Callithrix jacchus: one gene and its partners. The protein of the gene in region 2 interacts with the protein of the main gene of each other region in a pairwise test. Links are inferred from orthologs where the notes say so. Each region holds a gene or a part of one and is shown on either strand. Other genes may lie near its edges. The genes, in order: ANP32B, KPNA1 and SF1.

Region 1 (3,651 bases), on a different chromosome or scaffold from region 2:
CTAATTTTGCATTTTTAGTAAAGATGGGGTTACTCCATGATCATCAGGCTGGTATTGAACTCCCAACTACAGGCATGAGCCACCGCACCCAGCCTAGTTTCTTTTTAATACAGAATTTAAAAAAAAAAAACAATAAATACATGCTTGTAAAAAATTTAATACAAATATAAAAATACAGCAAAGGTCTCTGACATTTCCCATTCCCTTTACCCAGAGTTTACTTTCTGGCCATTTATAGTGTTCCAAGCCCTAGTTCCTACAACTTCATGAGGTAGGTACTGTTATGTCCACTTCATGGGAAACTGAGGCACAGAGAAGTGAAGTGACTTACACAAAGTTGTACAAGTTCTGCGTGGCAGAGGAGAACCAGGATTCGACCCCAGACATCTTGTTTCCAGAGCCCAGCTTTTGTCAGAGTTGACCTATTTTTTCAGATGTGCTCATTTCTTAAAAGGGAAGAATGGCAGAGATATCTAAAGAAAAATGGAAAGAAGGAAGGAAGGGAGGGAGGAAGTATGTGGATGTAAAGAGTAAAATGTATGCCTGGCTTCTGAAGAGGAAGTAGACAGGGTAGTGAGAAGTGGTTAGGCACTTACTATGTTATGGGTATTGCTGACTTGAAATCTGTTTCTTTCTCTATAAATGGGGGAAGGAGAGTGGTGGTAGAAAGAATAAATGTTTACTTCATAATTGAAAGCAATTATTAGAGTAACATCATTGGATTTTGTATGAGAGGATGAGGACATTGTTAATAGCTCCTGTTCTCTTTTCAGAGTATTAGCATCTCCCATATACATGCTTGATTAATGCCATTAAATATGGTAGGTTCACTAAAATTCTTTACAAAGGCATTCCGCCTTTGTTGGTGCAGTTAAAATGGTAATTTGCATCACTGTGAGTAGATCAAAGTGGGCTAAAAAAGTTGCAAGTTTCAGGGTGATCAAGAATGGCAATATGAATTATTGTGGTAGATCTGCATGTAGACTCTTAAATAATCAGTATTCAAAAATTCAAATCATCAGATGTGATGCTTTTTTTTTTTTTTTGAGATGGAGTTCTACTCTGTTGCCCAGGCTGGAGCGTCATGGTGCAGTCTCAGCTAACTGCGCCTCCCGGTTTCAAGCAATTTTCCCGTTGTAGCCTCCCAAGTAGTGAGATTACAGGCACTCGCCATAATACCCGGCTAATTTTTGTATTTCTGTAGAGAGGGGGTTTTACCATGTTGGCCATGCTGGTCTTGAACCCCTGACCTCAGGTGATCCGCCCGCCTTGGTTTCCCAAAGTGCTGGGATTACAGGCGTGTGCCACTGTACCTGGCCAGATGTAGCCTGAAAATGAAAACTTATTATCTAACAATTCTCTAGAAACATCTTTCTCATGTGCAAACCAGATCGATTTTTGTTTTGAATTAAGGACTCTTGCATCCTGATTTCTTCCCGGTGTCAAGATAATCTTGGCAAAGATTAATAAAACCAGAGCTGGAAAGTGTGTTGGTACAGAAATCTCTAGCCAGAATCTCTTAGTGGTCTTGGTAGGAAAAATAAAGCTTTCCTCTTTTCTGTGGTCATCTTCTGGGACTTAAGGTAGATTAGCCTAAAGAGTGTTTTCACTCTGTATTTGCATTTAAATGAAAGCTGCCCTTTGGGGAACAGACTGGGGAAAAGAAATAAGGGGAATACACTTACTTCACTTACATCTAAAGTATAGTGTCCGTTTCTGGAACATGAGTGTTTTATGCTAGTAATATTCCATCTTTGAATCTGTTAGCATATTGCTACTGAAGGCTTAATTATTTTTTATCTTTTTATAACTATGCTCTAAGTCTAAGAGGCTGCCCATATTATATGGGTGTTTTTGCAGGGTATTTATGGTGGAAGTTTTTGCATTCTTTGTTTTCAGAAATTTTTCTGAGAGCTTATTCTTTTTTGTCATCCACAGGTTCGAGAACTTGTCTTGGACAATTGCAAATCAAATGATGGAAAAATTGAGGGCTTAACAGCTGAATTTGTGAACTTAGAGTTCCTCAGTTTAATAAATGTAGGCTTGATTTCAGTTTCAAATCTTCCCAAGCTGCCTAAATTGAAAAAGGTAGGTGCTTTTCCTTTAACAGTAAAAGAGAACAAACCTGGGAAGGGAAAATGTATGATTTTACCTGTAAGGAAGCACTTAGTATAGCAGAAAGCACTTGACCTTTGGAACTGGGCAGATATGGGATGGAATTCCAGCTCTATCATTTCCTTGATGGGTGATCTTCTTCAGGTTACTTAATTTCTCTAAGGCCCAAATTCCTCACCTGTAAACTGGTGGCATTACCTGACCTTGCAGAATTGCTGTGATGTTTGGAAATAATGCATGTCGGGTGCTCAGTAAATAGTTAGGAAGAATAATTACTGTGTTTTGTGAGTAATTTATTTGTTAATTGTTATAAAACCAGTTCTTTATCCTTTCGAAAAAAAGGACCAAATGCTACAGAAAAATGTTTTCTTTTGTCATTGCACATTTAACTGTCACAGAGTCCCAGGACATCAGAATTGGAAAAAACTTTGCTCTTCTAACCCAGCTCCTTATGTTACAGACACAGCAATAGTCCCAGAAAAGTATAGTAATTTGCCTAAAGCCACCCACAGAAACGGTTAGTACTAGAGCCAAAACTAGAACCCATATCTCTCCTAACCTCATACCTTTTCCATTATATAGGAAAAAATGTGTGCTTATATAAGTATTGCAGAATTCTCTGCCATTTCAATATTCACTGTACTAGGAAACTTAAGTTGTACCTTTTTTTGACGAAGTCACACATAGAAGGAAATAAAATCAAACTTAGGTAAAGGTAGGCTGTTCCCAGAGCTTGCTTGTGTTCTGAGAGGGACAGTTAGTTTTTTTTTTGTAATGAAGGTTTTGTTGTTTTGCAGGAAGTGGGATGGGTTAAGTATGATACATGAGGTCGGCGCCATGGCTCACGCCTGTAATCCCAGCACTTTGGGAGGCTGAGACAGGTAGATCACCTGAGATCAGGAGTTCAAGACCCTTCTGGCCAACATGGCAAAACCCCGTCTCTACTAAAAATATAAAAAAATTAGCTGGGCATGGTGGCACGTGGCTGTAGTCCCAGCTACTCAGGAGGCTGAGACACAAGAATCACTTGAACCCAGGCAGCTGAGGTTGCAGAGAGCCGAAATCGTGCTACTGCATTCCAGCAGCAGAGCAAGACTCTGTCTCGATTTTTTTTTTTAAAAAGTATAGTACGTGAATTAAAAACTAGAAGTTTTTTTTTTTTTTTTTTTGGAGACAGAGTTTCACTCTTGTTACCCAGGCTGGAGTGCAATGGCGCGATCTCGGCTCACTGCGACCTCCGCCTCCTAAGTAGCTGGGATTATAGGCACGCGCCACCATGCCCAGCTAATTTTTTGTATTTTTAGTAGAGACGTAGTTTCACCATGTTGACCAGGATGGTCTCGATCTCTTGACCTCGTGATCCACCCGCCTCAGCCTCCCAAAGTGCTGGGATTACTGGCGTGAGCCACCGTGCCCAGCCTGAATTTAAAACTTTTAACATTTAAACATTAATCACTTCTTTTACAGGGCTAATGAGAGGGAATCATACTTAAAGGCAGGTTGAGTGTTCTGATGACTGATAAGGACTTTATTTTC
Region 2 (3,651 bases):
TCAGATGTTCTCATTCATAAGTGGGATGTAAGCTATGAGGGCACAAAAGCATGAGATTGATACAATAAACTTTGGGGATTCTGGGGTAAAGGATGAGAGGTAGGTGAGAAATACAAGACTAGACAGTGGGTACTCTGTACACTGCTTGGGTGATGGGTGCACCAAAATCTCAAAAATCACCACTAAACAACTTACTCATGTACCCAAACACCTGATCTGTTCCCCTAAAACCTACTGCAAAAAAAAAAAAAAAAAAAAAATCTCATGGACTCCCAGACTATACTTTGAGAACCACTGTTTTAGGAGAACTGAAGAGTCTCTTAATACAGTATACTAATTGTATGAAGTCTCATTTCAATGAGCTTTACAAATTCTCCCTTTATGCTATGCTTTTATTTATTTGCAGCCCCTACATAAATGTGCATCTTCAAGCTATGCTTTAAATTTGCTTTTCAAATAATAAAGGGAACCAAAAAAAAAAACAAAAACCCTGTTTCTCCAAAAACAGATAAAATTCTAACATTTTAAGTTTTAACAAAAATTATCTTTCTGTTCACCTTACTATTGGTTGCTATACTCTTATAATTGCATTTTTTCTGCCAATGTCCCAAAAGCACAGTCCTTACCTTTGCAAATTCTGGAGGTGGACTTTTCCCTCTACAGAGGTTAGACAAAGCCCATACTGCATTCCGGGTCATGGTCAGGCGGTTTTGCTTTGAAAATAACCTATAAGCATGATGGTACAATGGTAAACTATATAATAGACATTGATTCTCTGAAAACATAATATAAATACTAAGTAATAGTACTTTTGATAAAGAGATGTCTTCAGATAGCTTTTCCCCAGAACATTAAAACTTCATTAATTCTGATACAAGTAATTCAGAATTTTGACATGAGAGAAAGATAGAGTGCTTAAGGGAATGATCTTTTTTTCCCCTCGTTTTTTCCTTTTTTCTGAGGAAATGATCTAAACAAGAAAATGTCTGGAATGAAAAATAACAACAGAAAATCCAAAATGATTTCCAGAGATGCACTGCTTTCTGAGGAATCTCTTATGTTTTTATTGTCAAAAAGGAAGAAGAAGAAACTTACTGCAAAAGAGGGGGAAGGATATTGCAGTCTAAGACATAGTCCCTGCACATGGTACTATCTCCAGCAATGTTGCCAAGAGCCCAGACTGCCTGTGAAAGAATCATTAATAAAAGTTATGTACTCCCTTCTAATTCTTTCAGATGCCAGTATATCACAGTAACACATTCATCAGGGAGTCAAATGAAACAGTTGTGTGGTTGGAGGAAGAAGATAAATAATATTCTAAAGTGTATAATAAACTAAAGGTATTCAGTTTATTAAAGGAAAGAACCAATTTCTTTTCTTTTTTTTTTTTTTTTGGTGACGGAGTCTCGCTCTGTCACCCAGTATCGAGTAAAACACGGTGAAACCCCATCTTTACTAAAAATACAAAATTAGCCGGGTGTGGTGGCAGATGCCTGTAATCCCAGCTACTGAAGAGGCTGAGGCACAAGAATTGCTTAAACCTGAGAGACAGAGGTTGCAGTGAGCCAAGATCGTGCCACTGCACTCCAGCCTGGGTGACAGAGACTCCATTAAAAAAAAAAGGTATTTTTCTGGCTTACAAAATAAAACAGTGAAACAAACTATTTTCTGCACAAAAGTGATAAAAACTTACTACTTTCTTTTGAGCTAGGTCTCCTTCTGTTACCGAGGCTGGAGTGTGGTGCTGTGATCTCAGCTCACTGCAGCCTCTCTGCCTCCTGGAGCTCATTCAAGTGAACCTCCCACCTCAGTCTCCCAAGTAACTAGGACCACAGGTGTGCAACACCATGCCCACCTAATTTTTTTTTTCGGTGGAAATGAGGTTTCATCATTTTGCCCTGAGTGGTTGAGTTCCTGGGCTCAAGCAATCTGCCCACCTCAGCCTCCCAAGTGGTGGAATTACAGGTGTGAGCCACAGTGCCTGGCCTACTTTCAACACTGGAAATTTCTACAAGCAAAAACCTCTACTAGTAACTGCTTACAAGGTTTAGAAAGTACATACTCAGGGCTTAAAGAATGTCAGGTTTGGAAGGGGAAGATTATTTTATGTGTCTAAGAAAAATTCTGCCTACACTCACTAAGAAATTTTCTATTTGGTTAAGACTAGATTTCTAGAACACTCCTTTGTGACAATCCATAGATTATCAAAGCCAACTGGTAAAACTCAATCCCTGAATATGATTGAAGGGAAAAATGTTATTCTTTCACCTGCTTCTTTCTGTTTCATTTTTACCTGTTCCTGGACATCTTCAAACTCTGAGCTGAGCAACTCTATGAAGATGGGCACAGCTCCTGCCTGAATCACAATCCGGGTCTGTAGAGAATTTCCTGAAGCAATATTTGTCAGTACCCAAGCTGATTCAAACTACAAAGATAAAAATAATTTTCATTATCTTTTGAGAATGTAAAGCTTTTTTACTTATAACAGTAACTCTTTCTGAACATGTAAAAAAAGATTCTGAGATCATTATTTACACATAACCTATCAGTTGAGTACTATATTAATTTTAAAAGAATTTCCAGAAGAAACACCTCAACCTAGAAGAATATTCAGGGTGTCTGAAATTTCAGTTCAAGATAGAGTGGACATGACACCATAAAAAGAATGAGACAGTGTTACAAATGTTGATATGGAATGATCTGCAAAGATATAAACGAAAACAAAATGCAAACAGTGTACATTAATATGACATTATACCATATTTTCTTTCTTTTTTTTTTTTTTTTTGAGACGGAGTTTTGCTCTTGATACCCAGGCTGGAGTGCAATGGTACGATCTCAGCTCACCGCAACCTCTGCCACCTGGGTTCAGGCAATTCTCCTGCCTCAGCCTCCCGAATAGCTGGGATTACAGGCACACACCACCATGCCCAGCTAATTTTTTGTATTTTTAGTAGAGACGGGGTTTCACCATGTTGACCAGGATGGTCTCAATCTCTTGACCTCGTGATCCACCCGCCTCGGCCTCCCAAAGTGCTGGGATTACAGGTGTGAGCCACCGCACCCGGCCCCACATTTTCTAAAAGTATTACAAGGAATACATGCATTAACTTACTAATTGCACAGATTATCTCTAGAAGGAGTTATAGGAAACTAAATACTTGTTGGCTGCAGGGAAAGGTCATGATAACTAGGGAACAAGGATGAAAAAAACACTTATCAGTGGAAAGCCTTATGTGCCTTTTGGCCTGTACCATGCATGCTATCTAATAAAAAAAACTTTAAAACTTCTGTAGAATGGGCAAAGTAAAATGGGGAGAAAATGTTAGTGTAAAACATAATGTACAGGCACAGTGAGAAAAGCAAAAGGTATCAAATGTTAAGCAGGTCAAAGGAGTTAAGCATATAATGAAAAGAAATGACAACTTCAAAGCATAAGAGCTTCCCATAAATGAGAGAAATCCAAACCAAAGTACAGAGATAGGACTTTTTAAAAGAGCATTCTTAACAGGGATTGAAAAAAACGAAGGTAAATTGACCAAAGGTTGATATGCAGCATTACAGCACTGGTAAACAGAAGACATAAAGAAAATTATGACCAACAAAAAATAGAGCATACTACTCAAATATATCTCTAACACTAAATTGACT
Region 3 (3,447 bases), on a different chromosome or scaffold from region 2:
AACTGGGAATGAAGTTTGATGGAATTGAGTTGAGAGAACCTGTGCTTCAGTGATGCTTAGGGTCGTCTGTGCTCTTCGCCCAGGGCCTCTGCTCTGGCGATCTCAGATGCAGAACTGGGCACGACACTGAAGATTGTTGAGAGACTGTTGAGAGCCATGTTCAGTAAGGGGTTAGAAAGATGTAATGATCTGATGATTGAATCCTTCAACACTTTCTGTATGTTGGTTTCTCAGGGTAAAAGCTTCCGTAATGAGTTTTTCCACTTTCTCTCTGTCTCCCACCCCACCTCAGGCCTGGTGATCCCCAGTCAGCTCAGGATAAAGCACGGATGGATAAAGAATATTTGTCCCTCATGGCTGAACTGGGTGAAGCGCCCGTCCCAGCATCTGTGGGCTCCACCTCTGGGCCTGCCACCACACCCCTGGCCAGTGCACCTCGTCCTGCTGCTCCCGCCAACAACCCACCTCCGCCGGTGAGCCTGGGGGCAGGTTCTCTTGGTCTGGCTTCCCCATTCTCTTCTGCAGAGACTGGGAGCTATGGCCATGTGCTTTGGGTAGAGCAGATCGATGGATATGGATGGCAACATTGTTCTTCTGGGATCTCAAGCCAATTGGGGACTTTTCTCACTTTGGGAAGACCTCGTTCTTGTGTTCTAGTCCTGTGGCATGAACGGAAGAACAATGTTGCCACCAGGGGGCGCAGGCAGGGACGTTGGCTGGAAATGCTCTCACGTAGTCTCTCATGTCCACCACTCAGAGTCGCCCACCCTGGATGAATTCTGGCCCTTCAGAGAGTCGGCCTTACCATGGCATGCACGGAGGTGGTCCTGGTGGGCCCGGAGGCGGCCCCCACAGCTTCCCACACCCGTTACCCAGCCTGACAGGTGGGCATGGTGGACATCCCATGCAGCACAACCCCAATGGACCCCCACCCCCTTGGATGCAGCCACCACCACCTCCGATGAACCAGGGCCCCCACCCACCTGGGCACCATGGCCCTCCTCCAATGGGTAAGTAAGTGTCAGACCAGAAACCTTGGGGCTTTGGGATAAGCAGGGGGTTGCGTCAGGTCACTGAGCTAGAAGCAGCTCTCAAGTGGCTCGGCAGTGTGCCGGGTCTGCCTGACTTGCCAGGGTTATGGCTCTGGAAGGAGCGAGACTTCATTCTGGTACAGGGAGTGATTCTGTGTCAGCTAGGCACAGACACTGCCTTTTACAGGCATGGTTTTCAGAACTCCTGTAAGGATAGCAACTCAAGTTATCACAGGGGTGGCTTCCCTGGCCAATTCCAATGTCCTGCTAAGTCCCTGCTCTTTCCTTCCATCAAGATCAGTACCTGGGAAGTACGCCTGTGGGCTCTGGGGTCTATCGCCTGCATCAAGGAAAAGGTAATGGCTGTCTGCTGGCTGTGGGTCTTCACCTAGGTTTGGGCACGTGGGGACTGTGGCCCAAATCCCCCCCTTTCCCTAAAGCCTCATCTTTGCCTACACCTACCTGCAGGTATGATGCCGCCACCGCCTATGGGCATGATGCCGCCGCCGCCTCCGCCTCCCAGTGGGCAGCCCCCGCCCCCTCCCTCTGGTCCTCTTCCCCCATGGCAACAGCAGCAGCAGCAGCCTCCGCCACCCCCTCCGCCCAGCAGCAGTATGGCTTCCAGTACCCCCTTGCCATGGCAGCAAAGTGAGTAGAATATTTTGGGCTTGTGGGCGTGGGTGGGATGGGGGTGGGCCTGAGAGGAACCGTAGAGCCTCACACCTCACACAAGCAGGCAGGTGCCTTGGGATGAGCCCCTGAGCTCTGCTGGGGTTGTAAACAGAAAGGGCCTCCTGGTCCGGGGGGTAGAGGGGCATCTTGGAGAGGAGAGCTGATGTTTGGTGTGGTTGTGTCTGGGGAGAGGTTCGTGGGGACCTGGAGGGGAGCCTGCTGTTGTAGGTAGGGGGACAGAAGTCCCGTCCTCACGGGCTGAGTGAGCGGCTGGCTGGACCGAGCCTGGTGCATATGGCCCGAGTGGGATGGTGCATGCTTGCTCTGGCGAGGGCTGTGATTGGGGTGAGAGACTGCAGAGGTGGGACCGGGCAGTGGGGAGAGAGCAGCTGTGGCCTTGAGGTTGAATGTGCCGTTCGGTGGTGGCGGCGGCTGGGCGGAGGGACGTCAGAGCTGTTTTTGTGTCTGGTACCTTCCCCTCAGCCCTTCTAGGGGCATTGGTGACAAAGGGCTTACTCTGTTAAGCCCAGAGACCTCGAGGCTGACCCCAGGGTAGTCCTGCCCACCCCTCCACTCCCATCACCAGCCCCGCCCGCCCGCCCCCCACCACCGTACCGCATGCCAAGCAAGGAGCAGGCGCCCCTCGCCCCCATCCCAAGGCAGCAGCCGCAGACAGCCGCGGTGTGCCCCCGCGCGTGTGACCTTGGGCTTCTTTACCACCCCAGATACGACGACTACCACCACGAGCGCTGGCACAGGGTCCATCCCGCCATGGCAACAGCAGCAGGCGGCTGCCGCAGCTTCTCCAGGAGCCCCTCAGATGCAAGGCAACCCCACTATGGTGCCCCTGCCCCCCGGGGTCCAGCCGCCTCTGCCGCCTGGGGCCCCTCCCCCTCCGCCGCCTCCACCGCCTGGTTCCACCGGCATGATGTATGCCCCGCCCCCTCCTCCTCCGCCTCCCATGGACCCTTCTAACTTTGTCACCATGATGGGCATGGGGGTGGCGGGCATGCCGCCCTTCGGGATGCCTCCAGCTCCCCCACCGCCTCCACCACAGAACTAGACTTGTTTTTTAAGAAAATATATATTATATATAGAGAGAATTGGTCTCGTTTAAACACGCCGAACCTCACCATATGGAGCCAGACATTGGGACGCACGCATGTGATTGTGTGTGCACGCATGTGTGTGTGTGCACGCACGGGGCTGGGCCAAGCGACTGAGGATTCGCTTGGGAATGGGCAGTGGTAGTAGGGGCGCCAGCTTGGGCTCTTCTGGCGCCCCGTAGCATCGAGTGTCTTCTTTGTCTTCTTTCTCTCCTCACCCAACTCCCTTTGCCTCTCCCCAAACCGGGCCGCCAGGATCCCTCCCCGCGGCGGCGATGGCCCGAGCCATGAGAGTGAGGACTTTCCGCGCCCATTGGTGACCCTTCCAGGCAGACAGCCTCAGCAACGCCCCTGGTGGACAGGATGGTTCGGCAAAGCAGCCTGAGTTATTTTTGTGGACGGAATCGGAACACGCTGGCTCCATATCGTGAAATTTTTATTAATTTTTTTCTTTTTCCTTTGTTACTTCCTTATCTCTTCCTTTCTTCAGACTCCGTCCAAGGAGATGCTCTCCCCGGTCTTCTGCTACAATTAGATTCTTTTCCCTTCTCTCCAGTTCTTCCCTTACCAAGGAGAGGGGAGCAAATGGTTTTGGGCATGGGCTTCGGCCATTCATGCCAAGCTGGTTGTGGGGTTCT

What was found.
Region 1: the proteins of KPNA1 (region 2) and ANP32B interact in binary tests that used the Homo sapiens proteins (3 or more experiments, as listed by UniProt). The link is inferred for Callithrix jacchus from reciprocal best matches to the Homo sapiens genes KPNA1 and ANP32B.
Region 3: the proteins of KPNA1 (region 2) and SF1 interact in binary tests that used the Homo sapiens proteins (3 or more experiments, as listed by UniProt). The link is inferred for Callithrix jacchus from reciprocal best matches to the Homo sapiens genes KPNA1 and SF1.

The regions. Positions count from the first base shown.
Region 1 is NC_133502.1:146,121,332-146,124,982, forward strand, and holds part of ANP32B (acidic leucine-rich nuclear phosphoprotein 32 family member B), read left to right. Parts: intron 1-1,938; coding exon 1,939-2,088; intron 2,089-3,651. UniProt on the Homo sapiens protein: Multifunctional protein that is involved in the regulation of many processes including cell proliferation, apoptosis, cell cycle progression or transcription.
Region 2 is NC_133516.1:80,575,541-80,579,191, reverse strand, and holds part of KPNA1 (importin subunit alpha-5), read right to left. Parts: intron 2,426-3,651; coding exon 2,294-2,425; intron 1,185-2,293; coding exon 1,096-1,184; intron 727-1,095; coding exon 627-726; intron 1-626. UniProt on the Homo sapiens protein: Functions in nuclear protein import as an adapter protein for nuclear receptor KPNB1. Binds specifically and directly to substrates containing either a simple or bipartite NLS motif.
Region 3 is NC_133511.1:121,835,117-121,838,563, reverse strand, and holds the end of SF1 (splicing factor 1), read left to right. Parts: intron 1-292; coding exon 293-473; intron 474-736; coding exon 737-1,010; coding exon of another isoform or gene 1,011-1,014; intron 1,015-1,327; coding exon 1,328-1,387; intron 1,388-1,499; coding exon 1,500-1,679; intron 1,680-2,428; coding exon 2,429-2,766; 3' UTR 2,767-2,806; downstream 2,807-3,447. UniProt on the Homo sapiens protein: Necessary for the ATP-dependent first step of spliceosome assembly. Binds to the intron branch point sequence (BPS) 5'-UACUAAC-3' of the pre-mRNA. May act as transcription repressor.